Linked DNA regions of Anolis sagrei. The protein of the gene in region 3 interacts with the protein of the main gene of each other region in a pairwise test. Links are inferred from orthologs where the notes say so. Each region holds a gene or a part of one and is shown on either strand. Other genes may lie near its edges.

Region 1 (7,729 bases), on a different chromosome or scaffold from region 3:
AATTTACCAGAGAGGATCCTCATGGGCAGGGCATTTTTTGAAGCATTAAACTTGATGGTGTACTAGACTTTTTAAAATCATGTTAGAAGCAACTTGAGAAACTGCAAGTCGCTTCTGGTGTGAAAGAAATGGCTGTCTGCAGAGATGTTGCTGGATGTGTTAATATCCTCTGGGAGGCTTATCTCATGTCCCCATATGGGAAGCTGGAGCTGACTGACAGGAGCTCAGCCTGTCTTACGGATTTGAAACGTCGACCTTCAGGTCAGCAGTTCAGCTGCCACAAGGGTTTAGCCCATTATGCCACCACTGCTCCTACTATGTACCAAATAATAAAAATAGAAATAGGGGTTGAGGACTTTGAATTTCTTGTATGTTGTGGCCCTTGGGGTGCATCTACACAGTGGAATTAATGTAGTCCCGCCTCACTTTAAAACTGCCATAGCTCAATGCTGTGTTTACTTTGAACATGCTTGGTGTAACTTTGCCTTTGGATTATGATTTTAAAGGGGTGTGTGTTTGTGTACTGTATACTATTTCCTTGCATTTGATATGTGAGTGTTCTGTACGTGCATCCATAGAGAAACTTCTATCAAGGAGTTCCTTTGCTGCTTAGCATTTTGTTGACTTACGTGTACCAATTCTGGGTATACATCATGTATTAGGTTTGTATTCTGTCAATGTAGGACAAGACATTTCGTACAACTAAATTAAATGCCATCCCCAATACACATTATACACTCCCACAAATCCTAACAGCCTACCAGCTGTTTGCCCAGGCCTGCTATAGAAGAAGCAGGAACACACACAAAACCATCCATACTAAGCACCAAAGGGAAAAGCAACCAACGGCAGCAACTACGTGCACATCCTCTCTTGACATTGGCTATGCTCGCTAGGCAGATGGGAGTTGCAGTCCAACAAAATCTGGAGAACTACAAGTTCCCATCTGTATGTTAGTTATTGTTTCATATTTCTATAAGGAGGCATTGCTAAGAATCACCATATACATGTTCAGATACAAAACCAAAAATAAGTTCTTCCACAGGACAGCTTCCCTTGGGATTTGGAAAGGCTGGGAGTTCTTCCGAGGCAACAGATCCAGGCGGGGCTTTGGGTGCCTGGAGAGTGAAACTCGCCTGCACCTACAGTTCTGAAGGGAAACACCTCCATAGGACACACTTCCCTCCAATAGTCCAAAGTGGTCTAGCAGTTTACTGAGCATTACTGGATTTCATCCCCAGTCACAGTAACTCTGAGAAGGCAAAGTTGTGCTTTCTCGGCTGAGGCGGCCCCGCCAAAGGCCACCCAGCACACTAAGGGCCCTTCCACAAAGCCCTGTATCCCAGGACATCAAGGCAGAAAATCCCACAAAGATATACTTTGAACTGGGTTGTCTGAGTCCACACACAGATAATGTGGGATTCTCTGGGATATAGGGCTGTGTGGAAGGGCCCTGTCTAGGGTTGCATGTACACTTAGAATCAATGCAGTTTGACACTGCTTTAACTGCCATGGCTCCATGCTATAAAATCCTGGGAGTTGTAGTTTCACAAGACCTTTAGCCTCTTCTCCAAACTGCATCCCCCATAATTCTATAGCATTGAGCCATGGCAGTTAAAGTGGTGTCAAACTGTATTAATCTACATCCCAGGGAAATCTTTTGGCTCCAATCCGAGGCAGGAGATGGAAAGGACTGATGTGGTAAAAACAAAATTTATTTATTTATTTATTTATTTATTTATGACATTTACATGCTGCCCTTCTCACCCCGAAGGAGACTCAGAGCAGCTTACAAGATATATATACACACACATACAATATATTATATTGTATAATATATATTGTATAATAATATATTTTATTATTAGCATAGCACAATCTCAGTATTAAATATTACTATATTGTACTATTCCATTATATTGTAATATTATTAGTAATATTACATGTAACATAAAATATATAATTATAATATATTTTAAGCCCCCAAAAGGCCAGAGACATATCTATAGACAAAAATGTGGCCATTAGTATCAACATCCCACTTGGAGCCCTTCTAGACAGGCCCTATATCCCAAGATCTGCTCCCAGGTTTTCTGTTTATCTCAGATTATCTGGCAATGCGGACTTATATAATCCAGTTTAAATCAGAAAACCTGGGATCAGATCCTGGGATACTGGGCCTGTCTGGAAGGGCCTTGAGTCCAATGGAGCTTTTGTTGTTCTTGCGTGCCTTTACGATGACATATGGAGGCCCCTTCCACACAGTTGCATAAAATCCACCTTTTATTTATCGTGTCATCAGCAACCAGACATTTGTATTGCATTTTTAACAAAAACAAACAAACAAACAGACAAAACACAGAATTTGCCAGCTTCGTAGTTGATTAAATGTCCTTTGAGCAGTATCTGGCCACTTGGAGTGCCTCTGGTGTTGCTGCAAGGAGGTCCTCCGTTGTGCATGCAGCAGGGCTCAGGTTGCATTGCAGCAGGTGGTCTGTAGTTTGCTCTTCTCCACACTCGCATGTCGTGGATTCCACTTTGTAGCACCATTTCTTAAGATTGGCTCTGCATCTCATGGTGCCAGAGCGCAGTCTGTTCAGTGCCTTCCAAGTCGCCCAGTCTTCTGTGTGCCCAGGGGGGAGTCTCTCATTTGGTATCAGCCATTGATTGACGTTCTGGGTTTGAGCCTGCCACTTTTGGACTCTCGCTTGCTGGGGTGTTCCAGTGAGTGTCTCTGTAGATCTTAGAAAACTATTTCTTGATTTAAGTCGTTGATGTGCTGGCTGATGCCCAAACAAGGGATGAGCTGGAGATGTCACTGCCTTGGTCCTTTCACTATTGGCTGCTACTTCCTGGCAGATGTCAGGTGGTGCAATACCAGCTAGACAGTGTAATTTCTCCAGTGGTGTAGGGCGCAGACACCCCATGATAATGCGGCATGCCTCATTAAGAGCCACATCCACTGTTTTAGTGTGGTGAGATGTGTTCCACAGCAGCAGAGTAGCATAGCACAAGGGCAGATGTCTTCACTGTGTTGGGTTGTGATCCCCAGGTTGTGCCAGTCAGCTTTCGTATGATATTGTTTCTAGCACCCACTTTTTGCTTGATGTTCAGGCAGTGCTTCTTGTAGGTCAGGGCATGGTCCAGAGTGACTCCCAGGTATTTGGGTGTGCTGCAATGCTCCAGTGGGATTCCTTCCCAGGTAATCCTCAGAGCTCGGGATGCTTGTCTGTTCTGAAGGTGAAAAGCACATGTCTGTGTTTTAGATGGATTAGGGATCAGCTGGTTTTCCCTGTAATAGGCAGTGAGAGCACCTAGAGCTTCGGAGAGCTTCTGTTCAACCATCTCAAAGCTCCCTGCTTGAGCAGTAATGGCACGATCATCAGCATAGATGAAACTGTCTGTCTCTTCTGGCAGTGGCTGGTCATTTGTGTAGATGTTGAACATGGATGGGGCAAGCACGCTCCCCTGAGGCAGGCCGTTCTCCTGTTTCCGCCATCTGCTTCTCTGGCCCTGGAACTCAACAAAGAAGCTCCTGTTTCGTAGCAGGTTTCCTATGAGGCGGGTGAGGTGGTAGTCCTTTGTGATATTATACATTTTTCTTTGGAGGAGGCGGTGGTTCACAGTATCATAAGCCGCTGACAGGTCTATGAAGACAGCTCCTGTGATCTGCTGCCTTTCAAAGCCATCTTCTATGTGCTGAGTCAGGTTCAGCATTTGCGATGTGCAGCTTTTGCCTTTCCTGAAGCCAGCTTGCTGTGGGATCAGACAGGGGTCTATTTTTTCCATAATTCTATGCAAAATAAGTCTCTCCAGAACTTTGTAGAGGTGGCACAGCAGGGAGATTGGTCTGTAGCTTTTTGGGTCATTGCGGTCTTTGCCTGGCTTCAAGATGGCGATGAGTCTCTTGCTTTCCTCCAGATTTTGGGGATCTGACGGGATGCCGTGCAGTTGTTCATCAGCTCCGGCAGCCAGCGCCTTGCTTTTGGGCCAAAGTTCTTGATTTGTTCCACATTGAACAAACCCACATTGAACAGTTTGGACTCAGATAACCCAGTTCAAACAGACCTCACAGCCTCTGATGCAGGGGAAACGTCAGGAGAGAATGCTTCTAGAACATGGCCATACAGCCTGGAAAACACACAACAACCCAGTGATTCTGGCCATGTTAAGCCTTCCGCAAGACATCAAAGAAGATATCTGGGTGGGAAGGGGCCCTGAGAGGGTGAAATTGGCCTCCCTAAGATCACGCAGCGAGGGGATTCGACCCCTGCTCCCCCGAGTCCCGGTCCACGCTCAGCCCACGACGTCACTCTCCCAATGGGGAAAACATGCAAACGCGAGCACCCTACGGACGTTCCAACCCGCGTCCCGGCTGAGCGTGGGCACGCCCCCTCCTTCCCTCCCTCCCTCCTTCCCTGGCCTGCGTGCCTGCGTGCGTGCGTGCGTCCCTCTCCCCTCCCCCGCCCATGCCCGCTCCCTCTGACGCGCGGCTCCCTTACAACTCCCCCTCCCGCGGGCTGTTTACTGGAGCACGAGCTGCCGAGCAATGAGCTCAGCGCCCACCCCGCCCTCTCCTTCTCCGCCGTGGGAGGGGCGGAGACACTCGCGGGCGCCGCGGCCAATCAGGGCGCGCTTCCGCCACCGCCGCGCGCGCGGCCGGTATAAAAGGGACCGGGAAGCGCACGCTGGAGCTCAGAATACTCACTCGCGGCGCCGGGCGGCACCCAAACCCCAGCAAGCGCAGCGGCAACAACAGCCTCCACCACCACTTCCCGCTTCTTCTTCTTCTTCAGTGGCCGGTACGGTACCTGCTCCTTTTAGCTCCTTTTTGCCAGTGGGGACGAACGGGTGGAAGCCGCCGGAAAGACTGGGGAGGGACGCAGGCAAGGAAGCAAGCCAGCGGAAGCGGTCTCGGGAGCCGAAGCGCGACCCACGCCCCAAGCCAGGCCCGGAGGGAGGGAAGCCAGCAAGAAAGAAAGGAAGAAAGGAAGAAGGAAGGAAGGCAGGCGAGCCAGCGAGCGAGCGAGCGCGCCCCACTTCCTTCTTTCCTGCCCTCCCTTCATTCCTTCCTTCCGCCCTCCCTGCCTGCCTGCCTGCCCTTCTCTGATGTGCACGAAGATGGAGCAGCCTTTCTACCCTGACTCCTTTCTCTCCGGCTACAGCCAGGACTACAAGGCGCTGAAGGCGTCGGGCATGGCGCTGAACCTCTCCGCGGAGCCCTCCTCGTCGTCGTTCCGAGGGCTCAAGGCGCCGCTGGCGCACCACCCGCCGGCCCAGCACCCGCAGCTCCGCGCCCAGGAGGACTTCTTCCCGGCCGGCCTGCCCCCGCACCCACCCTCGGAGGGCGCCAACGCCGTCAACTCGCTCAAGCTGGCCGCGCCGGAGCTGGAGCGCCTCATCGTCCAGAACGGGAGCAGCAGCGGCGTCATCGCCACCACCCCCACGCCGCCCGGACAGTACTTCTACCCGCGCGGCGCCACCGAGGAGCAGGAGGGCTTCGCCGACGGCTTCGTCAAGGCCCTGGACGACCTCCACAAGATGAACCACCTCCCGCCGCCCAATGTCTCCCTCGGGGCGGCGGCAGCGGCAGCGGCGGCGGCATCCGTGGCCTCCTCGACGGCGAGCAGCGGGTACGGGGCCTCCTCGCTCCCGCAGGAGCCGCCCCCCATCTACACCAACCTGACCAGCTACAACCCGCCCGCCCTGAGCGGCTCGCCGGGCTTCCCGAGCGCCAACCTGAGCTACCTGCCGCAGCACCTGAGCCTGGGCGGGCACCACCCCCACGCCCACCACCCCCACGCCCACCACCCCCACGCTGCCGTCGCCCCCGGGCGGGGCTTCAAGGAGGAGCCACAGACGGTGCCGGACGTGCAGCAGAGCCCACCTGTGTCACCCATCAACATGGAGGACCAGGAGCGCATCAAGGTGGAGCGGAAGCGCCTGCGGAACCGGCTGGCGGCCACCAAGTGCCGCAAGAGGAAGCTGGAGCGCATCGCCCGCCTGGAGGAGAAGGTCAAGAGCCTCAAGAGTGACAACGCCGGCCTCTCCAGTGCTGCCAGTGCCCTGCGCGACCAGGTGGCCCAGCTCAAGCAGAAGGTCCTCAGCCACGTCAACAGTGGGTGCCAGCTCCTCCTTACTGCCAAGATGCAGCAGTCCTTCTGAGAGATGATGGAGACAGAGACAGAGAGCGAGAGAGAGAAGAGAAGGGACTCTCATGCCAAAAGTTTACAAAGGGACGGAGGGGGGAAGTCCTCCTCCTCCTCCCCTCCCCCCATGTCCGTGACTCTCAATCTGGTGGATCCAGAAGCCGACCTGTGCTGAGTGTGTACGAGTTCTTTTTCTAAAATCGCTGTATGTGAGAGTGCAATTGTGTGTTTGTATTTAAGACGAGACAAAAAGACAAGGAAGCCTTCCTCCGCCCGCATTGCTGGATGGTGCGGCGGAAAGGGAAGGGCGGATGGACGGACCGGGGCCGCCTGCCTGCCTGACCTCCTTGCCCTGCCAGTAGGAACAAAAGGGACGCTCTATTTATCCCCAAAGCCCAGAGGGACCAGAGAAGAAGAGGGGCCCGGCTGCACTTCCGCCCTCTTTCTCCTCCTTTTGACTTATGGACTAGAGAGAGAGAAAGGGCCCCCCCCTGTGGAGCCCCTGCGAGGGAGGAGGGGGTTGTTTACTACTTGTGCTCTTATTAGTTCTTCGGAGTCCTCACATTCATTTCCCCCCCCCCCCTTCCCCTGAAACTGATTGTATTTGTGTTTTGGAATTTTTATTGAACCTATTTAAGTAAACATGTTCTAACTACTTTATTTATCTGCGTACTTCTTTTAATTGGAGACAAAATGGGGCTTTTAGTGGGTGGGAAACTTCCTCAAAGTGAGTTCCATCAGTTTTGGTTTAGGAAAAGCCATTCTGGTTTCCATTTCGAGGGAAGAGAGAGGTTTGTTGTTATTATATTTATGTGTTTCTAGTCACTCTAAGTCAGGTATGGGCTAGCTTGGGATCTCCTGGTGTTTTGGACTCCAACTCCCACCATTCCTAACAGCCTCAGGCCCTTTTCTTTTCCCCCCTCAGCCACTTAAGCAGCTGAGGGGGAAAAGGAAGGAGCCTGAGGCTGTTAGGAATGGTGGGAGTTGAAGTCCAAAACACTAAGAGGGCCAAGTTGACTCAGGTCTGCTCTAAGTTGTACTGCTTTTAGCAGTAGCCTCTTTGAGTCTCTCTTTAGAGAGTGGGATAAACAACAACAATCATAACAGAGACCCAAAGCAGCTCACAGTCCCACTAAAAACAATACAAAGAGGCCTGGATCTCCATTAACTGTTGGGCAACAAACTTAATAGCTCTGCTGCTTGGGTGCTTTCCTGCCTTTGCTTCCTGGTGGATCCATGGAGGCTTCTTAACCTTCTCTGCCTTGTCTCCCTCCTCCCTCCTAATCGATGAGATCCGAGCTTTCTTTGCCTGCGTGCCTCGCTTTGCCTCACGTCATATTTCGGAGGGGTTTTTTTTGGTGCTGAGATCTTTCTCTCCCCCCCCCCTCCTTCCCCCCTCCCTGAGTTTTTCCTTTTGATGTCAAACTCGGAGCTTTGATGCGCTTCGAGAGCCCGCGTGAGCTCTGTCTCTCACGAGGGAGGGGCGGGGGGCCCCCTCCCTTTGCGCGCGCCAAAAGCCCCCGAGGGCCGTCCTCCCACGCGCCGGAGCCTCACTTCCTTGATCTCGCCAGCTCTGACTT
Region 2 (8,108 bases), on a different chromosome or scaffold from region 3:
GACATTCCACAGATATATAAACCTCACTTACTTTGTTTCCAACAGACCTCACAACATCTGAGGATACCTGACATAGATGTGGGTGAAACGTAAGGAGAGAATGCTTCTGGAACATGGGCATACAGCCCAGAAAACTCACAGCAATCCTAAAGCAGCTTTTGAACATAGTTTGGGGAGATGGAGGCATATAGTCCTGCTTACCATCATACTCATACAGGAAGAATTAGAGCTTGTGTCCCTCCAGATGTTTTGGAATATGATCCCGTTACCCCAAGGCAAGTATTATCCTGCTTGTGGCTTATGAGAGATATAATTCTGAGTATCTGGGTAGCACTAGTTCCACCTCCTTACAGTACAGAACACTCTTAGGGTCTCTACCCATAACAAAATGCCTAAAGAAACTACTATGGAAGTAGGTCATGCTCACTTGCACATCTGATATGCTGGCATGAAGGGGAAAAAACAGCTTTCTTCCCCCCAATGTGTTGCGCTACAACTCCTAGTATCTTCTAGCCAACATGCCAGCTTCTGACATACACTTACCTTGCTTTGCTGCACCTCCACGACGTCTCCTACCTGCATTTGCCTGTTGGTAATGGTTACTTTCACTCATCGTCCTACCTCCCCAAGCAGGATGGGTACTACCAACCTACAGAAAAGGAATGGAAATGGTTAAAACATGGTGAGGAGTTGCTGAGGAGCCTTCTAATCAAGGTGAAAGAAGAAAGGGCAAAAGCTGGGTTGCAGTTAAACATCAGAATACCAAGATTCTGGCAGCCAGACTGATTGATAACTGGCAAATAGAGGGAGAAAACATGGAGGCAGTAGCAGACATTGTATTCCTAGTTGTGAAGATTACTGCAGACTCAAACTGCAGCCAGGAAATCAGGAGACGCTTACTTCTTGGGAGGAGAGCAATGTCCAATCTCGATAAAATAGTGAAGAGTAGAGACATTACACTGGCAACAAAGATCCACATAGTAAAAGCAATAGCATTCCCCATAGTAACCTATGGATGTGAGAGCTGGACCATAGGGAAGGCTGAGTTTAGATTTCCCTAAAACATAAACTTCAAAAGTAACCCCTCCTTTCAGGGACTTTCAGGTGGTTAGCTTTCATGTCTGCTATTCTCCCAAATTTTTAACAGTGGATCTGCTCATTTGGAGTGCAATGCAGGGTGCAATAGAACAGAGCAGTAATTCATTGTAAAGTTAGAAACTACATAATGGCCTTCCTGAAAATAAGGAGGGTTCACACTCTCCTTCACTATGAAATAACTAGGTGTATAGTATCTAGATCCATGTTACCCCTCTATTCTGCCTTGGTTAGACCACACCTGGAATATTGTGTCCAATTCTGGGCACCACAATTGAAGAAATATTGATAAGCTGGAATGTGTCCAGAGGAGGGCAACTAAAATGATCAAGGATCTGGAGAACAAGCCCTATGAGGAGAGGCTTAAAGAGCTGGGCATGCTTAGACTGAAGAAGAAAAGGCTGAGAGGAGACATGATAGCCATTTATAATATGTGAGAGGAAGTCATAGGGAGGAGGGAGTAAGCTTGTTTTCTGCTGCCCTGGAGACTAGGACGCGGAACAATGGCTTCAAACTACAGGAAAGGAGATTCCACCTTAACATTAGGAAGAACTTCCTGACTGTGAGAGCCATTCAGCAGTGGAACTCTCTGCCCCGGAGTGCAGTGGAGGCTCCTTCTTTGGAGGCTTTTAAACAGAGGCTAGATGGCCATCTGTCGGGGGTGCTTTGAATGCAATTTTCCTGCTTCTTGGCAGGGGGTTGGACTGGATGGCCCATGAGGTATCTTCCAACTCTATGATTGTATGTTGTGACTCTTGGCTATTTACGTCCACAGCTTTGTCAGCCTAGGCCAGAGTTGAGTTTCTACAGGAGGGATGGGCAACTGGTGGCCCTCCAGGTCAGACTGCCTCACATTGTTGCTCTATACAAACAAAAAGCAGACAAGTCTGGTGCGGGTTGCCATCTATCTCCTTTTAGATGGCCGTGGGTTTCCTACGAAATGTCAGGAGTCAGAGAATGCTTCTCGAACATGGTCATACAGCCTGGAAAGCTTACAACAACCCACAGTGATTCTGGCCATGAAAGCTTTTGACAATACTAGGGTTCCACTTTAACTGCTATAGCAACATCCTATGGAATATTGTCATTCTTCCCTTTGGGAAGAATATTTGGAATCTCCAAGTCAGAGGGTGTTCTGAAGACCTCATCACACTACAGAATGAATCCACTTTAAATCCGGTTTTTGCCTCCAGCAGAATACTGGAGTTTGTAGTTTAGTGGGGCTATTAAAGGCTCCTTCCTAAACTACAAACCCCAGAATTCTGCAGGAGGCAGAAACCAAATTTAAAGTGGATTCATTCTCTAGTGTGATGAGGTCCTCTGTCTCTCTGGAACCTCAGTAAACGACAAGCCCTAGGATTCCAGACACAGGATGTTGCCATGGCGATTAAAACGAAGTCAACGCGTTTTACCACAGTGCAGTGTGACAGGGCCCTAAAACGAGGCGGTTTCTCTCTCTGTCTCAGGTGTGTTCGCTTTGTGGATCCAGGTAAGCGTCGGACTTTGGCTCCCACGGGGAAAGACCTCCCTGGTGGGCATCCCCAAGGAAGAATCCCGGGAAGGTGAGGGGTCGAGGAGCATGCCCACCTGGCAGGAACTGGGGCCAATCTGGAGCGTCCAGGAGATCAGGCTCTCTTTGGCAAAGGCTCGATTGGAGGCAAAGAAAACCAGATCCCCTCGATCCTCTGCAAAACGGGTCCCCGCTCCTCCAAAATGGCCCCGGATCCTCTCCCGGAATGAAAGACCCCTCCTCCTTCCCTTCCTCCCCAAATTCCGTGCGCCCCAGGACTTTGGGAACGCAAGGTTTTCCCTGGCGCTCCAGGGCGCACAGGTGATGGAGAGGCGCAAAGGAGAGGAGGGTCCTTTGGGGAGCCGAGCCCAAGCGCCCCCACCCACAGCCCCGCCCCAGGCTGAAGGGGAGCCCAAGGGCGAGGGGGCAGCGAGGCAACCCCCTCCTGGCCCAGCCCATACCTGGCTCTTTGGGGCGCATCCACCCCGGAGTGTCCGGACAGGCAAGTGCGGCTGGCGAAGGAGGAGCGGCCAAGGAGGAAAAGGAGGAGGAGCTGCCTCCAAGGGCGGGGGTCCTACCTGGCTCACGGAAGGAGGAGGGACAGGTCTCCTTCAAGGGGCTCCATCGCTTCTGAGGCCAGGCACGCACCGACAGGGAGTGACCACTGGCACGTGTGGATGAGCCATCGTGAGCACAGCCACGCGTGATTTTTTTTCGTGTAAGGAGCGACTTGAGAAACTGCAAGTCGCTTCTGGTGTGAGAGAATAGGTCGTCCGCAAGGACGTTGCCCAGGGGACGCCTGGATGCTTCATGTTTACCATCCTTGTGGGAGACTTCTTTCATGTCCCCGCATGGGGAGCTGAAGCTGACAGAGGGAGCTCATCCCCACTCTCCCCGGATTCGAACCTCTGACCTGTTGGTCTTCAGTCCCGCTGGCATAAAGGTTTAACCCATTGTGACACCCCCCTTCAGCGCTGGAAATTATGGAAGCCATCCTTCAAAAAATGCTTGTCTATGCTCTAAGATAGGTAATGGCGCTCCATGCAGTCATGCCGGCCACATGACCCTGGAGGTGTCTATGGACAATGCCGGCTCTGGCTTAGAAATGGAGATGAGCACCACACCCCAGAGTCGGACATGACTGGACTTAATGTCAGGGGAAAACCTTTACCTTTTTATGCTCTAAGATGGAACTGTAAGAAGGACCATCAATTGGTTCTAATGCAAGCATGGGCAAACTTCGCCCCTCCAGGTGTTTTGGACTTCAACTCCCACAATTCCTGAATTGCGAGAGTTGCAGTCCAAAACACCTGGAGGGGCAAAGATTGCCTATGCCTGTTCTAATGCATCTCTGGTGTTATTGGATGATATCCCAAGGGAACAAAACATGGCAAGTCTTTCATTTCACACCTTGCCTTTTGTTACTGCTTCAAACCTCTATAAACATGTGCTGCCATGGCCAAGAGTCAGACATTTGTGGGTGAGTATAATGCACTTCTGAGTATTCTTTGCCTAAGAAAACACTATGAGATTCACAGGGTTGCCATCAATCAATAGTGACTTGAAGGCATGCACACAAATACAATGTATCCATTCTTCAACCTCCAAATTGCAGCCATTAAGGATTCAACAGTGCTTCTTTCAACATGCTTCCTCTGACAAAGTTTCTGAGGTTCCAAAAGAAGGACTGGGTGAAAACTCAGCTGTGTGGGGAGGCTGGACACCTTCTATTTAAAAAAAGCTCTTCCAAAGAAATAAGGAGGAAGCCTGTCCTAAAATGATGACACAAAGGACTGTAGAAGAATGCAAAGGTGTTGGAGAGGATGCCAGAACATGTGCATGAAAAACATGAACTTAACACCAAAACACTCAAATAAGATTAAAAAGAGGACACCTGTGCCATTGGCTTTGGAAAACCATGATGCTTGATGCTGCAATAGACCTCACCCTAAATATATCACACATACTGTATCTACTGTATTCCTCATTAGGATATGAAGGGAAGAATAGTTGTGTTCTATGAGGGCAGAGGGGAGATTAAACTGATGTGATAATTCGAAGTCAGTGATGCTAGTCATGGTTGGTCCTGAAAAGGTCCGTTGGTTGGTTTGCTTGTTTGGTTGCGTGCTGCAAGTCGTTTCTGGAGTGAGAGAATCAGCTGTCTACAAAGATGTTGTCCAGGGGACACCCGGATTGTGCCACATGCACAATGGAGGACCTTCTTATAGCAACACCAGAGGCACTCTAAGTGGCTGGCTACTGGTCAAAGCACATTTAATAGAATGCCAAGTTTGCAAACTTTGTATTTTTTAAAAAAATATATAATATAACTGTTTGGTTTCCCCTGACATGATAAATAGTGATGCTAGTCTTGCAAAAACAGGAGCCAGATCACCTAGTTGGATTGGAAAGGAGTAGAAGATCCTCAGAAGATGAAAGAGAGCACCTTGACCAAGGCATGAGGTAAGTGGGTCTCACAGTCAGGATATATGGGCTCTTTAAGGAGTTCAACTACTTGCAGCTTGGTTCTTCTCATGTATGGCACTGGGGAGAGGGGGAATTGGAAGGTGAGGATGGGAACAGATACATTTCTACATAAGCAAGCTGTATTCCACATTGGCAGCAAACTACATTATTAAAGTAATGCAAGAATGACACAGTCCAACCAAAAAAATGTGTCTTGATGTCTTGGATTTTAGGTTTGTTCCTGGGGTTATTTATTGATTTATTTATTTACAACATTTATATGCCACTCATCTCACCCCGAAGGGTACTCAGAGGACTTATTTGGGATCTTGAAAACTGCATTGGATAGATCACATCAGCTCTAGTTTCTTTTATATGGTTATCGTTGTTTTCTATGAGTGAGCAGATGGCAACTGATAAATGTTGTATGTTCTGTATCATAGAAACTAGAACTGATAGGGGAAAACTGCAACCATTTTTGGAATATCTAGAAACAGGTCTAACATTTGAGGCACCAAAATGTGTGTTGGCCAGTGTTACAACTAAAGAAAAGACTGAAAGTGTAAGGAGCTCAGGGATGCATACAGCCCTCAGAGGACTTTGGCCATACTGGCCTGTGTCAGATAATGCACAATAAATAGTCCAGAATTTGGGGTCAGGGTGGAAAAGAGGCTAAGCTCCTTGTTTGGAAAGATGTTTTCCTATAAGCAAAGACAAGAGTCCAAAAAACATGTGTGTGTGGTGGGGAGGGGAGGGGGCTGGAAGATGGGGGTAATGGGGTTCTTTGTTTGGAGAGACATGCTTTTCCTCCAAGCAAAGACAAGAGTCCAGAAATGTGGGGTGGGGGTGGCCTGGCAATTTTCTTTAAGATGGGGGGTGCTTTTATTCCAAGTAAAGGTAACAGTCAAAAATAGTAAATAAATAAATAAATAAATAAATAAATAAATAATAATAATAATAATGGTAAAGGGTTTCCCTTGACATTCTTGATGTTTTACCATCCTTGTGGGAGGCTTCTCTCATGTCCCTGCAAACTACTAACCACCTAGGTTCTTGTGGGTTTTTTCGGGCTATAGAGCCATGTTCTAGAGGCATTTCTCCTGACGTTTCGCCTGCATCTATGGCAAGCATCCTCAGAGGTTGTGAGGTCTGTTGGAAGTAGGAAAAATGGGTTTACATATCTGTGGAATGGCTGGGGTAGGGCAAGGAGCTCTTCCCTGCTGCAGTTAGGTGTGAATGTTTAGCTGATCACCTTCATTAGCATTTGAAGGCCTGCCTGAGCCTGGGAAAATCTGTTGCTGGGAGGTGTTAATCTGTGCCTGGTTTTTTCCTCTCTGTTGTTTAACACCAGATTAACACCTCCCAGCAACAGATTTTCCCAGGCTCAGGCAGGCCTTCAAATGCTAATGAAGGTGATCAGCTAAACATTCACACCTAACTGCAGCAGGGAAGAACTCCTTGCCCCACCCCAGCCATTCCACAGATATATAAACCCATTTTTCCTACTTCCAACAGACCTCACAACCTCTGAGGATGCTTGCCATAGATGCAGGCGAAACGTCAGGAGAAATGCCTCTAGAACATGGCTCTATAGCCCGAAAAAACCCACAAGAACCTAGTGATTCCAGCCATGAAAGCCTTCGACAATATACTAACCACCTGCTGCAATGCAACCTGAGCCCTGCTACATGCACAATGGAGGACCTCCTTGCGGCAACACCAGAGGCACTCCAAGTAGCCAGATACTGGTCAAAGGACATTTAATCAACTACCAAGCTTGCAAACTTTGTGTTTTGTCTGTTTGCTTTGTTAAAAATGAGTGATTTATCTGTTGGGAGGCACAGGAGGGACAAGTTAAGGGGTGTAATTTCCCGCTAGGAATAATGTGAAGTGCACCTTATTCCTAGGACACGTATATTCTGGGTCAGTCACAGTATGGGAATTGTTGTGAATATGAATAAAGTATTGTTGTTTTTCAACTGCCGGCAGTTAGGAATTGTGGGAGTTGAAGTCCAAAACACCTGGAATGCCAAAGTTTGTCCATGCCTGGACTAAGTTCTTTGTTTGGAGGGCAATATGCTTTTTCCTACAAGCAAAGTCAAGAGACCAGAAATGCCTGGGAGGGGAGAGTTTGATTGAATATTTTTTAAAGGGGAAACTGCTTGTGGCACAATCAAAGAGAGACAAGAGTCCAGGAATTGGGGGAAGCAAGGGGAGCTACATAATCCAAAGATTAAAATCCAAATTTGTGGAGTTGGAGGTGGGTCTATGCTCTTTGTTGGGGTGGGGGGGTATGTGCTTTTCCAGAGGCCAGAAATGAGAGAGCTCTTTGTGGGTGGAAAGGGGGGCTCCATCCTAGAGCGATTCCCTGGCCCCTTGCACCCCTTTCCCCCAAAGTGGAAGGGGGGTTTCATAGAATCATAGAGTTGGAAGAGACCTCATGGGCCATCCAGTCCAACCCCATTCTGCCAAGAAGCAGGAAAATTGCATTCAAAGCACCCCAGCCAGTTTATCAGCTGTTAGGATTTCTGGGAGTTGAAGGCCAAAACATCTGGGGACCCACAGGTTGAGTACCACTGGTTTAAAAGCTTCCAAAGAAGGAGCCTCCACCACACTCCAGGACAGAGAGTTCCACTGCTGAACAGCTCTCACAGTCAGGAAGTTCTTCCTAATGTTCAGATTGAATCTCCTTTCTTGTAGTTTGAAGCCATTGTTGCATTGCACCCTAGTCTCCAGAAAACAAGCTTCCCTGACAGATGGCAATTTAGCCTGTTTAAAAGCCTCCAAAGAAGGAGCCTCCGCTGCACTCCGGGGCAGAGAGTTCCAGTGCTGAATGGCTCTCACAGTCAGGAAGTTCTTCCTAATGTTCAGGTGGAATCTCCTTTCCTGTAGTTTGAAGCCATTGTTCAGCGTCCTAGTCTCCAGGGCAGCAGAAAACAAATTCACTCCCTCCTTCCTATGACTTCCTCTCACTCATTTATACATGGCTATCATGTCTCCTCTCAGCCTTCTCTTCTGCAGGCTAAACATGCCCAGC
Region 3 (7,337 bases):
CTTTTCTGCAGGGTGATCATAAGGTGTGGGGCGCACAGAAACAATATGCACAGCCGTAACAGACTTGTCATCACTGAGAGAACTAACAGAAGTGGTAGGACTTTGCTGGGGTGAACACAAGTAAGATTCTGGGCTCATGCATATTCCACTATCATTATCAGAATGTGCTTCATCCTCCTTCTCACACTTTGGAATGACATTTAGTGGAATTACCACTAAGATATGGGCTTCCGTTTTCCTGTCTCCTTCAAGAACATCTATCTCGCTGCCTAGTTCTAAGGTGAAAGGGCTGCTGTCTGCAGTGGCAACATGTGACTCTGGAGAAAGGGCTAATGTCAGCAAGGGGCTCGGTGAAGCTTCCTGGTCTGAGCTGGTGGGGGGCTTTGGGGACTCAATAATTTGCTCTGGTGTCAGTGGAGTTTCTTCAATGGGAATTTCTTGAAAGGGAGGCTCAAGTGGATCACAGGTGTCTTCCAACGCGGCCATGAGCTCATCTGGTGAGACGGTGGATTCCTGATCATCAAGACCTAACAGCACATCAAAATCAAACTCCTTCAGATCCATGTTTTCCACCATCCAATCCATGCCAGAGAAGGCATCCTCTGTCAAGGAAAAGAAAAAAAATCATTTGAGAAAATTAAACGTTTTGCAAAAATACGTTCTTTCCTTTTATTTCTTCTATTTACACAATCAGATCATATCCAGTTGCCATTATACTAACACATTTCACTTTCACAGAACTAGTAGACCAACACCTCCCCCACTCCCCAATCTCCAGAATCCCTTTATCCCTCTGGTCTTACCCTGGCTGTTGTCTGTGGCATTATTCAATCTGTCCACAGCCAGCCAATGGGAGGCGCCCACTTTAGCCTTGTCGCCGGAGAACCCATGCGAACTGAGCTTCTTGGCCACCTCCAGGTAGTCATCTAAGAGTCCTAGACTTTCTTCAGCCCCCAAACACGGCTGGTTGAAGGGGGAGAGAAAATCCCCCCACAACATCTCTGTGTTTGAGAAGCTCATCTTGGCCAAGTTTCAGTACTTTGTCGTCGAAAAGGGTGGACAAATCGGTGGTGTCTTTGTCGAAAACAGCAAAGCTGCTGTGCAATGCTTTGAAAAACCTGGAATGCAAAGAAAATGGGATTACCAAGGTGACAACTTGTAAGGACCTTGAATTTACCCCTACAGTAGGATAAGGCATTTTATACATTATAGTTAAGCAGGAGTGTTTGCCGGATTCCAGGACTGGGTTTTTTTGAGGCGCCATCTGGAATCCAGACTCGATTTCTTCTGCATACCAACCCGCTCAACCACAAAATGGCGCCAACTAGGGGCTGTCAAATGTTTCCACTTCTGCCCGCCCACCTCCTGACTTTCCTCATGACCATATATGGTCTGAAGCAGAGCAGACGCTCCACCCGCCACTCCCTTCGCCTGATTCATGCCTTCATTTGCTACAACAGCTGCAGCCATTTCGTGCTCTACGTGTCCACGTCCCCACCCTATAACTAGGCCGCCATTTTATATCCTGCCACGTTTTTATTTCAGCTGGTCCAACTAGTTTTCACCTTTGACTATCTGTTTAATCCACACTGAGCAGAAGCACCTTAACAAATTCCAAGTTCTTTACATGGGCTTTCAGAGACAAAAAGTGGAGAAATGCCAATATACAAGGATGGAGGTGAAAGATAGCCACCTACAGATTTAGCGCTGTTCTAGACAGCACTAAAATAAACCATGATAGATCTAAAAAGAATCTCTTCTTGACATCAAGAGTTCTTGGCTTTCTAAGAGATTAATTTCCTGTGTACTCTAAACATTTACGTAAGACTCATGAATATCACCTAAAATATACATTAGTTTTCAGCAAACAGTAACGTGGCTGTTATTATTTATTTACTGTATTCATTACTGTATTTATATACCATCTTTCTCACCCTCGGAGGGGGACTCAAGGCAGTTTACAACATACTAATGGCAAAAATTCAATGCCAACATACAGTAAAACAAATCATAACTATTTGTTACATATACCTTTGACTTACAATCATTAAAACTACGAAACATGACAGATGAAACATTACAATCATCCTAGTATAATTATTAAATTTTAAAATCATTTAGTATGTTTTTGAAATAATTTTTATTGGTTTATGGTGCATAGAGAAAACAAAACTGGTGTCGGGAGGTCATGGGGGTTGGGTTCATGGGTGTGGGGTTAGAGGGACAATAAATGGTAAGTTATAATAATTGTACAAAATTGATTTTGCATATGTTTAACGAGTACTGACTGAATACCATTCTGTAAACTTGCATACCCTTTTGTATATCTTTTTCTTCTTTTTTTGTGTGGGTTGTTTTTTTCCCCTCTGAAATCATTTAGTATTTCTGACAGCTTTCAAAGGAAGCCTTGCATCTTATGACTGTGTGTGCTGATCGAGCAATATTTATGCTCCCCAGGAATTTCCTTCAGAGTGAAGGGAAATAACTTTGCCCACTAATTAGCCTAATTGAGTTACCTAGGGGAATTTGCATTCCCTTTGCGCCTCCTATTGCGAATTCCCAGAAGATTAGCTCATTGCTTTTTTCCCTCTTTGTAAACCTGAGTAAAAGGAACCCAGTTTCTCCCACAAGGTAGAAGACCTTGTAAAACTACAACTCCCCACTATGCCATATCATTGAGGCCATGGTAATTCAAAGTGGTGTCAAACACCACTCACATTCCACAGTGTATCAGGCCTGGGTCAACTTGGGCCCTCCAGGTGTTTTGGACTTCAACTCCCACCATTCCTAACAGCCTCAGGCCCTTTCCTTTTCCCCCTCAGCCGCTTAAGCGGCTGAGGGGCAAAAGGAAGGGGCCTGAGGCTGTTAGGAATGGTGGGAGTTGAAGTCCAAAACACCTGGAGGGCTCAAGTTGACCCAGGCCTGGTGTAGATGACCTCCTCTTTCGCTCGCCATACTCACGCCATGGCTGCAGGTGCCTTGAGGTGCCGAGGCCGCGGCCGCTTCTGCTGCGCCTCTGCAATGGCCGTTCTGCCGCTTGCGCTGCCGCCCCCTACGGTGCCATGGCGGCGCCTGAGGAAGCTCAAACCGCTCTGCGCCTCGTTGGTCTGAGCCGCGCCCGCAGGCCGCACACAAACGCCAATCACACAGAACCTCCTCCTTCGCAGACTTCAGCCGACAATGAGGACAATGGCGTCTTCGGCTTCTCCTTATATAGCGCAACGAGATCCGGCCGGCTCTTCTTCTGGGGCACGAAGAATCCTTCCGCTCAACCCGTCCCTTGATTTAAGACAGCTTCACTCGAGGAAACAGGCTTTGGCGCCCCCATCTAGAGATAAATAAAGGAATACTTCGCGGGGCTCTCCTCCATTGAGAGTCACGCGCCCCTCGTCCAAAAAAAAAAAAAACACTCCGCGGAAGGATCACGAGAACTATACTGCGCTCTGTGACATCATCCCGCTCGCTGGCGGCTCCTTTCGTGTCAGACCACGTGACGCCTCAAGGGATGTGCCGCTTCCTATTGGCTTCCCGAAATCTGGATTCCCTCCCCCCCCCGCACTCGAGGTGAGCACGTGGACAGACGGAACCCGATTGGCTAAGGGAGCCCTGTCCGCGTGGACTGTCTCCTGCTATTGGCTGAGAAGGGGAAGCGCGTCAATCGTTAGCCGTTGACGAAGAAGGGAAAGGGGCGCGGGGGTGTTCTTTTGTGTGAGGCAAATGGGACTGAAAGGTCTTCTGAGGGGTTTATTTATTTATTTTATTTACGGCATTTATATGACGCCCTTCTTACCCCAAAGGGGACTCGGAGCGGCTTACAAGATATATATATATACACACAATATATTGTATTATTAGCATAGTACAATATCAGTATTATATATTACAATATTGTATTATACTGTTATATTGTAATATTATTAGTAATATTACATGTAATATAAATATATAATTATATCCTATTATGTTGCATTACATTACAATATTAAAAATATATATTCTATTATATTATTAGAATAGCACAGGAGACAAGATGGAACTGTCTCCTGGCCCCCTCTTCACTGGCCCAGAGCGGCAGTTGGTGCTGGGGGGAGGGGTCCCCAGCTGATGTCATATGCAGGAGACAAGATGGAACTGTCCCCTGGCCCCTCTCTCTTCACTCTGGCCCAGAATGGCAGTTGGTACTGTGGGGAGGGGTCCCCAACTGAAGATATATGCAGGAGACAAGATGGGACTGTCCCTTGGCCCCCTCTCTCTTCACTCTGGCCCAGAGTGGCAGTTGGTGCTGTGGGGAGGGGTCCCCAACTGAAGATATATGGAGGAGACAAGATGGAACTGTCCCCTGGCCCCCTCTCTCTTCACTCTGGCCCAGAGCTGCAGTTGGGGCTGGGGGGAGGGGCCCCCAACTGATGACATATGCAGGAGACAAGATGGAACTGTCCCTTGGCCCCCTCTCTCTTCACTCTGGCCCAGAGTGGCAGTTGGTGCTGTGGGGAGGGGTCCCCAACTGAAGATATATGGAGGAGACAAGATGGAACTGTCCCCTGGCCCCCTCTCTCTTCACTCTGGCCCAGAGCTGCAGTTGGGGCTGGGGGGAGGGGCCCCCAACTGATGACATATGCAGGAGACAAGATGGAACTGTCCCTTGGCCCCCTCTCTCTTCACTCTGGCCCAGAGTGGCAGTTGGTACTGTGGGGAAGGGTCCCCAACTGAAGATATATGCAGGAGACAAGATGGAACTGTCCCCTGGCCCCCTCTCTCTTCACTCTGGCCCAGAGCGGCAGTTGGTGCTGGGGGGGGGGGGGGTCCCCAGCTGATGACATATGCAGGAGACAAGATGGAACTGTCCCCTGCCTCCCTCTCTCTTCACTCTGGCCCAGCGCGTGAGTTGGTGCTGGGGGTTTTGCTTCCACCTTTAAAAAGGCCTGGGTGCCTTGCTTTGGTTATGCCTTTATCAGGCTTAAGTGGCTGAGGGAGGGAAAGGAAGGGGCCTGAGGCTGTTAGGAATGGTAGGAGTTGGATTCCCAAACATCTGGAGGGCCCAAGTTTGCCCAAGCCTGCACTAGATGCAGGAAACCTTTCTTGCCTTGAAAGAGTTGGGGTTCAAAGCAAAACTTTTCCAATCTCTGAGGGCCAGTTGCCTAGTTCTGTTGACATCTGCCAAAGCTACTGGCTGCCCTCAGAGCTGCTTCCCCAGAGCCAATGCATTTGGGTGGAAATAATAACTTATTGCATGTACATACAATGGAATATGCTACTTCAGAGCGCAGTGGAGATTTTTAAGCAGAGCCTGGATAACCATCTGTTGGCGTTGCTTTGTGTGTTCCTGCATGGCTGTGGGTTGGACTGGATGGCCTTTGTGGTCTCTTCCAACTGTGAATATGTATGTAATGAGATATCTTGGAGAGGGCATCCCAAGTTTTTAAAGAGATTTAAAGATGGGCTTAAAGCCAAACTTAAAAGCTGTGGCCTAAACATAACTGGGAAGCCTTGGCCCTTGAACGCTCTAAATGGAGGTCAGCTGTGACCAGCAGTGCTGCAGAATTCAAAGAGGCATGAATGGAGGGAGTAAGGTGTCAAGAGGAAGGCGAGTCAAGCCAACCCTGTCCGGGACTGCCTTCCACCTGGAAACCAATGTCCTCACTGCGGGAGAATATGCAGATCAAGAATAGGGTTCCATAGCCACCTACATATCCACCGCCAAGACACTACACTTGGAGCTATCATCCTCAGGCTACTAGGGATTGCCTCAGAGAAGATCTGGGAGAGGGCATCCCAAGTCTAAATGCAACATTTATTTATGTTTCATATATATCTTATAGACATGGGGCCATGGTGTCACAACAGGTTAAACCTCTAAGCTGCTGAACTTGTTGACCAAAAGTTTGGTGGTTCAAATTTTGGAAGTGGGGTGAGCTCCTGCTGTTAGGCCCAGCTTCTGCCAATTTAGCAGTTCAAAAACATGTGAGTGGAAGTAGATTAATAGGTACCACTCTGGTGGGAAGATAGTGGCGCTCCATGCAGTCATACTGGCTGCATGACCTAGGAATTGGCTACGGTCAATGCCAGCTCTTCAGCTTAGAAATTGAGATGAGCACCACCCTCCAGAGTCAGATATTACTAGGCTTAATGTCTGGGGAAACCTTTACTATATACTATATATATGCTATGGTGGCGAAACAGGTTAAACCACTGAGTTGCTGAACTTGCTGGCCAGAAGGTTGGCGGTTTGAATCCGCAGGATAGCTTAGAAATGGAGTTGAGCACCACCCCTCAGAGCCAGAAAGGGAAGCCTTTACTTTTATCTGTTGTTTCTAGGCATTGAATATTTACGCCTTTGTGTTTGTGTATGCTGGAATCTGTCCTGAGTCCCCTTGAGATAGGGCAGAATACAAATGAAGTATTATTATAGTATAGTCTGAAGGTAATGTTATCCTATAATTTTAATAATTTTGTGATTGATCAGAAGGCAACGGTGTTTCTATATCAGCCAAATATGTGGACACTTTTGTGTCAGGCATGGCCAAACTTTGCCCCTCCCCCAGGTGTTTTGCACCAACTCCCACAATTCCTAATAGGCTGTTAGAAATTGTGGAAGTTGAAGTCCAAAACACCTGGAGGGCCAAAGTTTGCCCATGCTCGCTTTAAGTACAAGTGAATGACGGCAGCTCCTCTATCTAAAACAGGGGAAGGGAGATTAGAATTGAAGTTGGCTCTGGGAGGAGAGAGCCATAACTTTTGGACACCAGTATCTGCCAAGTGCTGAGTGCAGGCCTTTGTATGGGAACAAGACAAAACAAGATTCCTCTGGAAATCTGCTGCTAATGATGGTGTTCAGGATAGAGAGCATTCTTCTGTGTGGTAATTGAAGCATGAGATAGGACTGTCCTGCAAGCTCAGTTCTCCTTTGTGCTTCACACAGAACACAAGGCTTCTGCAAAGAACAGGCCCCTTTTGTCACAGGCTCCCAGCAGGAGATTTTGCTGAGAGCCTTTCCACACAGCCATATAATATCAAGGCAGATAATCCACAATATCTGCTTTGAACTAAGATATCTGAGTCCACACAGCCATATAATGCAGTTCAATGTGGATTATATACAGCTCTGTGTGTGGTGGGGGGGGGGGCGGGGGGGGCTGAATACAGTTCTTCTCGTGGCACTGTTCAAGAGAGAAAGAGATTGGAAAGGTGTTTTTGGGCCCCATCTAAATTCTTTGCACCAGCTAGGACAGTGTTTTGCGTTCTATCTAACGTGAAAGATTTGCCATTTTTCCTCTTCCAATGTGTCAAGATTGTAAATTGATGTCAAGTCAACTTTGACTCATGGTGGCACTATCAAC
Region 4 (8,352 bases), about 37 Mb from region 3:
ACAGCGGTCGGCACAATAGGTTGAACAGCACAGGTAGTCGGCACAATAGATAGTTAGTCAGCACACGTCGGACAACCAAAGTCGGTCAGCACAGCGTTGGCCTAAAGTTGGTAGCGTCGATGGCATACACAGGTTGGCCCCAGTGATGCTCTGGAGGGGTGCGATAACCGCACCACGAACCAAGATGGCGGCCGCGTCAAGACCTGGGGCGGCAACTCAAGCCACCCCGGGGTCCTAGCGCCGCACGCCGACAAGGCCAGCAAACTGTGAGTTATCCCGGCCCCAAAAGCTCCGGTCGACTAATCTGTGGTTTGGGAGGGAGCGTGCTCGGACCCAACTAGAGGTGGGCCTCGCTCCACCTCCACTCTTCTCTTCTCGGGAGCCGACTCGCACGGCTGAAGCAGCCAGATGTCCGAGGCTGCAGCTGGAACGCAAACCGGCTGGGCCGAGCAGGAGGGGGCGGCGTGGGTGAAAACAGCCCTCTCGGAGGTCAGTCTGCCAACCCGCTGGGCAGCCAAGCAGCCGAACAAAGCCTCCACTTCTCCGTCCAGGTACAACGTCCAAGCTAAGATTATCGAAGCTGGAGACTGGAGGGTGTAAGGGGGTCCAGAAGGGGTCCAGTAGCTGGGAGGTATGGAGCTTGGGGCCAACAATGGCGGTGGCCCAGTTGTCTTCTCCTTTCCTCCTTCCCCGTTTGTTCGTCTTCTTTCTCCGACGCTCCCCGAAACAGGTCTCCAAGCTCACTTTCGTGACCCTGGGAATTACTGTTTGTGTGGGGGCGGTTTTTTAAGAGTCCAAAAGGGGAAATAGAGCCAGAATATGGTAAATTGAGGCCCCTCTCTTACCCTGGGAAGAAGGTTCGCTGCTTACCACGCCGCCATCATTTTGAGTAATTTGTAGTTTGTAGTTTGTAAATAGTTCGACTTCAAAGAGCTCCCATTCAAACAAATAATTTACTCTTATGTCCAGTCTCTATGGGTAGCTTATTCAGCAAGTTTCCTTTCTTTGCTCTTTGCTCTTTCTTCCCTCCGTTTCCTTTATCTCTCTTTACTTTTTGTTTCTTTGTAACTCCAATTAATTAATCTTAATGGAGGCGGTAAGCCGCAATACCATCCCATTAGGTCGGCGTCCTCATTATTGTTATTATTTATAGTATTTTAATGTAATGCACTATAATGCTAATAATAATATGATATCATAATTATATATTTATATTGCAATTGGTATTACTAATAATATTAAAATATATTGTATGTCTATAATATACCTTGTTAGCCGCTCTGAGAAGGGTGGCATAGAAATGTCGTCAATAAATAAATAAGTATTGTTGAAGGCTTTCATGGCTGGAATCACTAGGTTCTTGTGGGTTTTTTCGGGCTATATGGCCATGTTCTAGAGGCATTTTCTCCTGACGTTTCGCCTGCATCTATTGCAAGCATCCTCAGAGGGAGTGAGGTCTGTTGGAATTAGGACAATGGGTTTATATATCTGTGGAATGGCTGGGGTGAGGCAAGGAGCTCTTCCCTGCTGCAGTTAGGTGTAAATGTTTAGCTGATCACCTTCGTTAGCATTTGAAGGCCTGGCTGAGCCTGGGGCAATCTTTTGTTGAGAGGTGTTAAGATGTGCCTGGTTGTTTCCTCTCTGCTGTTTTGCTGTTGTAATTTTAGAGTTTTTTTAATACTGGTAGCCAGATATTGTTCATTTTCATGGTCTCTTCCTTCAAATGGTAATGAAGGTGGTCAGTTGAAACATTCACACTTTGCTCCAGCAGACAAGAGTCCTTTGTCCCACCCTGGTCATTATTCCACAGATATATAAACCCATTTTTCCTACTTCCAACAGACCTCTCAACCTCTGAGGATGCTTGCCATAGATGCAGGCGAAACGTCGAGAGAAAATGCCTCTAGAACATGGCCATATAGCCCGAAAAAACCCCCAAGAACTTAGTGATTCCAGCCATGAAAGCCTTTGACAACCAAGCACAGCTTAATACCTCTCAACAAAAGATTTTCCCAGGCTCAGCCAGGCCTTCAAATGCTAATGAAGGTGGTCATTTGAAACATTCCCACCTAGCTCCAACAGACAAGGGTCCTTTGTCCCACCCTGGTCATTATTCCACAGATATACCAACCCCTTTTCCTAGTTCCAACAGACCTCACTCCCTCTGAGGATGCTTGCCATAGATGCGGGCGAAACGTCAGGAGAGAATGCCTCTAGAACATGGCCATATAGCCCGAAAAAACACAGAAGAACGTAATAAATAAGTAAACCAACATCCGGGAACGGGGCGGCCCCCAAGCAGCTGAAGCCCCTCAGCTTCGCTCTGGCTGCTCACGGGCACCACCGTTTGCGCATGCGCCGCAGTCCTCCCTCGCTCCCTCCCTCGGTCCTTTCCTGCGCATGCGCGAGAAGGCAGGCCGGCCAATAAGCAGTCAACCACCGGGGTCCTCGGACGGAGGAAACGTTTGTGCGCATGCGCAGCAAGCGCGTTGCTGCTGGCGGAGAAGAGGTGAGTGGGGCTGGGCCGCGACTCCGGGTTGGCGATTCTGGCCAGCGGATTCTCATGGGGACACTCCGCCAGGCCCTCTTACCTTCCCTCTCTCCGTCCCTCGCAGCCGGTGGAAGTGAACGGGAGAACGGGGCAGGGGAGGGGGAAGCGGCCCGCGGGCAGCAGGCTCTCCCTGCCAGGCACGCTCGCCTTGGCTGACTTAGGCTTCCGTGTGCATGCTTCTTACGTTGTGAACTGGGTTGGGTTGAGTGCCGTCGTTGATTGACAGCTCTGCCGATGTGTCCTGGCCCTCTGCCCGCCCCGAACCCCCCCTCCCCCCCCCGAGGTGAGAAGGGCCGCACACGAGGGCAGTAAACACTTAGAATCCTAGACTCCTAGAGTGGGAAGGGACCAACTCCTGGGCCATCCTCCAGTCCAACCCCATTCCGCCAAGAAGCAGGAATATTGCATTCAAATCACCCCTGACAGATGGCCATCCAGCCTCTGTTTAAAAGCCTCCAAAGAAGGAGCCTCCTTCCACCACACTCCCTCCGGGGAAGGCAGAGAGTTCCACTGCTGAACGGCTCTCACAGTCAGGAAGTTTTTCCTGATGTCCATGAAATGTCTGTATGTGTTCGGTGTGCGGGAATGGGGACCCGATATTAGCCAGGTAAGGCTAGGGTTAGGGTTAGGGTTGGAAGAGACCTCCTGGGCCATCTTCCAGTCCAACCCCATTCTGCCAAGAAGCAGGAATATTGCATTCAAAGCACCCCTGACAGATGGCCATCCAGCCTCTGTTTCAAAGAAGGAGCCTCCGCCGCACTCCGGGGCAGAGAGTTCCACTGCTGAACGGCTCTCACAGTCAGGAAGTTCTTCCTCATGTTCAGGTGGAATCTCCTCTCTTGTAGTTTGAAGCCATTGTTCCATTGCGTCCTAGTCTCCAGGGAAGCAGAAAACAAGCTTGCTCCCTCCTCCCCCCTGTGGCTTCCTCTCACATATTTATACATGGCCCTCATCATATCCCCTCTCAGCCTTCTCTCCTTCAGGCTAAACATGCCCAGCTCCTTAAGCCGCTCCTCATAGGGCTTGTTCTCCAGACCCTTGATCATTTTAGTCGCCCTCCTCTGGACACATTCCAGCTTAGAGTCAATATCTCTCTTGAATTGTGGTGCCCAGAATTGGACACAGTGTGATTCCAGGTAAAGTGGTCTCACCAAGGCAGAATAGAGCATGGGGAGCAGGACTTCCCTGGATCTAGGCACTAGGCTCCTCTTGATGCCTGAGGCCAACATCCCATTAACATACATAAACAAGGAGGCCCAATGGGCTGAGACTCAGTGGCAAGATCTTCATTGAAAGTGTGTGGCTCCTGCAAGGACAAAGGTTTTGCAGTTTGATAAACCTTTTCCATGTTTTTATGGCAGAACCAATTAGGAAATGACATTTATAACCCAAGAACATAATAATAATAACAACAACGTTATTCTCAAATGCCGGCCCATCTCCTCGAAGGCACCTGGGGCGGTTTACAGAACGGCAGAAAGGACCTCAAAACAAACCCTAAAAGGACGCACAATGTACAACACTATAAAAGAAAAGTGCTGCTGCAAACATGGCCTAGCTGTGAACAAGTGCAATGCAGGCATGTAGCTGGCCGGGGGGGGGGGGGGGGTTCAGCCCCCCCCCCCGAAATTCTGATGGTGGTCCGCGAGAAGGCCTTACTGGTGCATTATTTAAACTGCTATGTTTATTGATATCATGATCTGATCACTATACTCAATATATTCCATATGCATGATGGGGGTATTGGGGTAACGATGCAAAAGGTTTGCTAGGGTAGACCCTCTTTCACTCAGGCTCAGCCCCCCCAAACCGAACTCAGCCCCCCCGAAACAAAATCCTGGCTACGGGCCTGCAATGGGATAAGTGCACGCTGCAGCAATGGAGAGTGGGCATCGCATCAAGGGCAAGGATGTGCGGTGACTACTGCGTAGAACTACAAGGGACCGGGCATTCTCAAAAAAGGACAGGGCCCCACGGAAGGAGGGCGGGGGGGGGGGGCTGCCTCATCTCCCTGGGGAGGGCGCTCCAAACCAGGGGCCCCCACCACCACGAAGGAAGGCCCTCTCTCTCCCTCATCCTCGGAGGTGGGAGCGAGAGCAGGGCCTCCCCAGCAGATCTCAGAGCCCGCAGACACGAGGGTCCTGTGTGTTTATGCCGTGGGTCAGCAGAGAATTGGCTGCAGTTTTAAGATCAGCCCAAACGATTGGATGCCGTTCAAGTATGTTGTTTTGTTGTTATTTTATGATGTTTTAAACTTACTATCAATGTATTTGGATAGTTGTTTACATGATTTTAATATGTGGTAAGCTGCTTTGGGTCCCGTGAGGGAGAAAAGCGGGATATAAATCAAGCTTTACTGTTATTGATGACAAGTCTGTGAATCCCTGGCTCTTTCTTCCAGCCTCATCCTCCAGAAGCGCCTGTCTTGACAAAGGGAGCTGGGGGAGGGGCCCCTCTCTCTGCTTTGGGGCTCATCCACCCCCCACTACCTCCCCCCCCCCGGTGGCCATGGAGAAGTTTGGGGTGAGCTTTGGCGGGGGGCCCAGCCGGAAGGACCTCCTGGAGACGGTGGAGCAGCAGCGGGAGCAGCTGGCGCAGTACCAGGCCCGCCTGAAGGACGTGGTCCGGGCCTACAAGGGCCTGCTGAAGGAGAAGGAGGCGCTGGAGGCCAGCCTCAGGGTCCTCTCCGTGGCCCACCAGCCGCTGGACGACCAAGAGCCCGCCGGGCCGGGGGCAGTTTCTGAATTCGGCCTGGACGCCAGCGAGGACAGGAGCTCCGGCCAGAGCGAGGAGGACGGTGCGGGGCCCGCGGTGGAGGAGGAGGAGGCGTTGTCGGCATCGACGGCGGTGGGGGCGGAGGAGGAGAGCGGGAGCAGCGGCAGCGGAGAGGCCCCCGGGGAGGGGGGCCGGCGCGTGCTGCAGCTGAAGGCCCAGCTGTCCACGCTGACGGCCTCCCTGGCCACGGTCTCCCAGGAGAAGTCCCGGGCGGAGGCCTCCTTCCAGGCGGACAAGCGGCGGCTGAGGCAGGAGCGGGAGGAGGCCGGGCGCCGGGCCGAGGAGGAGCGGGCGCGGCTGGCGGAGGAGGCCCGGGCGGCCCGGGAGCAGCTGGCGGAGACCAAGGCGCGGCTCCTGGCGCAGCAGCACGACCGGGCCCAGGAGCAGGCCGACCACGCCGCCATGCTGCGCGAGCTCCAGCGCCTGCTGCAAGGGGAGCGGGCCCTGCGCCAGGAGGCCGAGCGCGGGCTGGAGGAGAGCCGGGCGGCCCTGGCCGGGAGGGCGTGCGCCGCCGAGCACGCCGAGGAGGCCGAGCGCAGGGCCCGGCGCCTGCAGAGGGAGGTGGAGGCGCTGGAGGGGGAGCTGGGGGCCCTGCGGGAGGAGAGCGCCCGCCCCGACCCCCAGCTGCAGGCCCTGCAGGCCGAGGCCGCCGCCCTCCGCAGCCACTTCCAGGCCCAGCTGCTGCAGGAGATGCGCAAGGTCAGCCCCCCGAGGGCGAGGGGGGGGAGGGAGGGGGGGCAGTGGGTTGGGCACCTCTGCGGGCATCTGCTTTAGGACCTGGGGCTGTCCATACGGGAAGGGGGGGGGGTTGGATGCAGGGCCGTAGCCAGAAAAAAATTTCGGGGGGGGGGGGTGTTGAAAATCTCAGGGGGGGGGTTGAAAATTTCGGGGAGGGTTGAAAAATTTTTTGGGGGGGGAGGTTGAAACCTGCCTCCTATCTCACGCTGAAGCAAAGAGCACATCTGCAGTGGGCAGAGCAGCCTTCAATAGCCTGCAGCTCCGCCCTTGTCAACCACCTCCACCAAGTCTGGTCTCCTTAATGAGAGCATTCAACACACACACACACAACTTGGTTGCTACACTTCATCGGCTATTGCTGCAAGTAATGGCAGTGTGAATAAATTGTCAATATTTGCTTGACAATCACCCCCTCGCTACAGGCCTGGTTGGATGTGCCTGTGAGTTGTGTATCGCCCAGTGTCCAGCCCTGGGCAGTGCAGTTGGAAGAAGCTCTTGACCAGGTGGGTGGGGCCACCAAAAGGGTCAGAGGTGTGGAAGGAAGCCATGAATCCTCCTTGAGTGCAGCTGTAGCTTCATGTTGACCCTCTCCCTCTTCTCCCCCCCCCCCAACCCCCAGACGGCCCACGCGGAGGAGCGTGTCCGTGCGGAGGAGGACCGCGCGGCCGGCCTGGAGGCGCAGATTTCGGAGGCCTCGGAGCTCCTGGGCAGCTACGAGAGGGCCAAGCAGAGGGACCAGCTGGCCATGCAGCGGCTGCGCGAGCGCCTCTCCCAGCTGGACCTGGAGAACAAGACGCTGGCCTTGGCCACCTCCGGCCGCTGCCCGGCGCCGGACGTCGGCCTGGAGGAGGAGAGCGGCCTGGACGCCAACGTGCTCCGGGACAGGATAGAGAAGCTGCGGGCGCTGCTCCGGGCGGCCACCAAGCGGGACCTGGGGGAGGGGGAGGGGGAGGGGGAGGGGGAGGAGGGGGAGGAAGAGGGGTCCCTGCGCAAGGTGGCGGGGCCGCCCGAAGAAGAGGCCGACGGGGAGAAGGTATCCTCGGCCGCCTACTACCAGCGGGAGCTGAGGCGGCTCAAGGAGGAGTTTGAGCACTACAAGCAGCAGCACGGGGGGCAGAAGGGCGGTGGGGGGCAGCCGGCCCCAGGGGGGGGGAGCGAGGGGGGCAGCGGGGAGGGGGAGCTGGCGGAGGCGCGGGCGCAGCTGGCGGCCCTGAAGGAGACCTACGTGGCCCTGCGGCTGTCCCACGAGGAGCAGGCCCGGCGGCAGCGGGAGCAGGCGGAGGCCCGGCGGCAGGAGGCGTCCCGGGGGCAGCAGCGGCAGCGGGAGGAGGTGGAGCGCGCCCGGCGGGAGGCCCGCGAGGAGGCCCTGCGGCTGGAGGAGGAGCTGCGCCGGCAGCGGGAGCGCGCCCTGGCCGTGCTGGCCGAGAAGGAGCTGGAGCTGGAGCGCCTGCGGGCCCTGGCCTGGCCCTACGCCGCCGGCCCGCCCCCGGGCCCCCCCCGCCCCCCCTCGCCCTCCCTGCCGCCGGCCCCGCCGCCGGCCCCCTCGGCCCCCCAGGAGGACCTGACGCAGGCGCTGCGCCTCTCGGGGGGCCCCGGGGAGCCCCCCTTCCTGCTGTACACGGAGCAGCTGGCCCGGCGGGCGGTGGAGCTGGCGGGGCTGAAGCGGGAGAAGCGGCGGCTGGAGGGGGAGGCGCGGCGGCTGCGGGAGCGGCTCCTGGCGGCGGAGGAGGCGCACCGGGAGGAGCTGGGGGCCCTGCGGGAGCGGCTGCGGCAGAGCGCCCGCGAGCAGGGCCGGGAGGGCGCCAACCTGGAGTACCTCAAGAACGTCTTCTTCCGCTTCCTGACGCTGGCCGAGGGGCTGGGCCGCCAGCAGACCCTGGGCGCCATCCTGACCGTCCTGCACTTCAGCCCCGAGGAGAGGCTGGCCGTCATGGGGCCCCCCGGGGGAGGGGCGGGCGGCAGCGGGGGCGCGCACAGCGGGGGGTGGTGGGGGGCCTCCGGAAAGAGGTAAGGGAGGGGAGGGGCCGCCCCATCCCACCCCACCCCACCCACTCCCCCCCCCAAAGGCCAGAATTGGAGGGGGGGGTAGCGGTGGTTGGGTTTCCAATCATGCCGGGGGTCTGGGCTTCCATAATTTTGGTGGTTCCTCAATCGGGGCGAGGACAATTATGTGGAAGGTGCCCCCCCCCCTTCACTCTCCAATTCACCAATAAAAGACTCACTGCCAAAGCCTTTTCTCAGAACAGAGCCACCTGGTGTTGTGGTCGGCCTGGTTTTGGGGGGGGGGG

What was found. The genes of interacting proteins can lie anywhere in the genome.
Region 1: the proteins of ATF4 (region 3) and JUNB interact in binary tests that used the Homo sapiens proteins (3 or more experiments, as listed by UniProt). The link is inferred for Anolis sagrei from reciprocal best matches to the Homo sapiens genes ATF4 and JUNB.
Region 2: the proteins of ATF4 (region 3) and CCDC106 interact in binary tests that used the Homo sapiens proteins (3 or more experiments, as listed by UniProt). The link is inferred for Anolis sagrei from reciprocal best matches to the Homo sapiens genes ATF4 and CCDC106.
Region 4: the proteins of ATF4 (region 3) and GCC1 interact in binary tests that used the Homo sapiens proteins (3 or more experiments, as listed by UniProt). The two-hybrid records come from large-scale screens. The link is inferred for Anolis sagrei from reciprocal best matches to the Homo sapiens genes ATF4 and GCC1.

Annotation. Positions count from the first base shown.
Region 1 is NC_090022.1:111,655,570-111,663,298, reverse strand, and holds JUNB (transcription factor JunB), read left to right. Parts: upstream 1-4,736; 5' UTR 4,737-5,109; coding exon 5,110-6,165; 3' UTR 6,166-6,809; downstream 6,810-7,729. UniProt on the Homo sapiens protein: Transcription factor involved in regulating gene activity following the primary growth factor response. Binds to the DNA sequence 5'-TGA[GC]TCA-3'.
Region 2 is NC_090026.1:17,860,986-17,869,093, reverse strand, and holds the start of CCDC106 (coiled-coil domain-containing protein 106), read right to left. Parts: upstream 3,421-8,108; 5' UTR 3,184-3,420; intron 3,167-3,183; exon of another isoform or gene 3,067-3,166; intron 2,939-3,066; exon of another isoform or gene 2,683-2,938; intron 650-2,682; 5' UTR 614-649; coding exon 544-613; intron 1-543. UniProt on the Homo sapiens protein: Promotes the degradation of p53/TP53 protein and inhibits its transactivity.
Region 3 is NC_090025.1:163,050,938-163,058,274, forward strand, and holds the start of ATF4 (cyclic AMP-dependent transcription factor ATF-4), read right to left. Parts: upstream 3,209-7,337; 5' UTR 2,962-3,208; intron 1,119-2,961; 5' UTR 1,021-1,118; coding exon 804-1,020; intron 603-803; coding exon 1-602. UniProt on the Homo sapiens protein: Transcription factor that binds the cAMP response element (CRE) (consensus: 5'-GTGACGT[AC][AG]-3') and displays two biological functions, as regulator of metabolic and redox processes under normal cellular conditions, and as master transcription factor during integrated stress response (ISR).
Region 4 is NC_090025.1:200,499,806-200,508,157, forward strand, and holds GCC1 (GRIP and coiled-coil domain-containing protein 1), read left to right. Parts: upstream 1-4,932; 5' UTR 4,933-5,059; coding exon 5,060-6,025; intron 6,026-6,683; coding exon 6,684-8,075; 3' UTR 8,076-8,101; downstream 8,102-8,352. UniProt on the Homo sapiens protein: Probably involved in maintaining Golgi structure.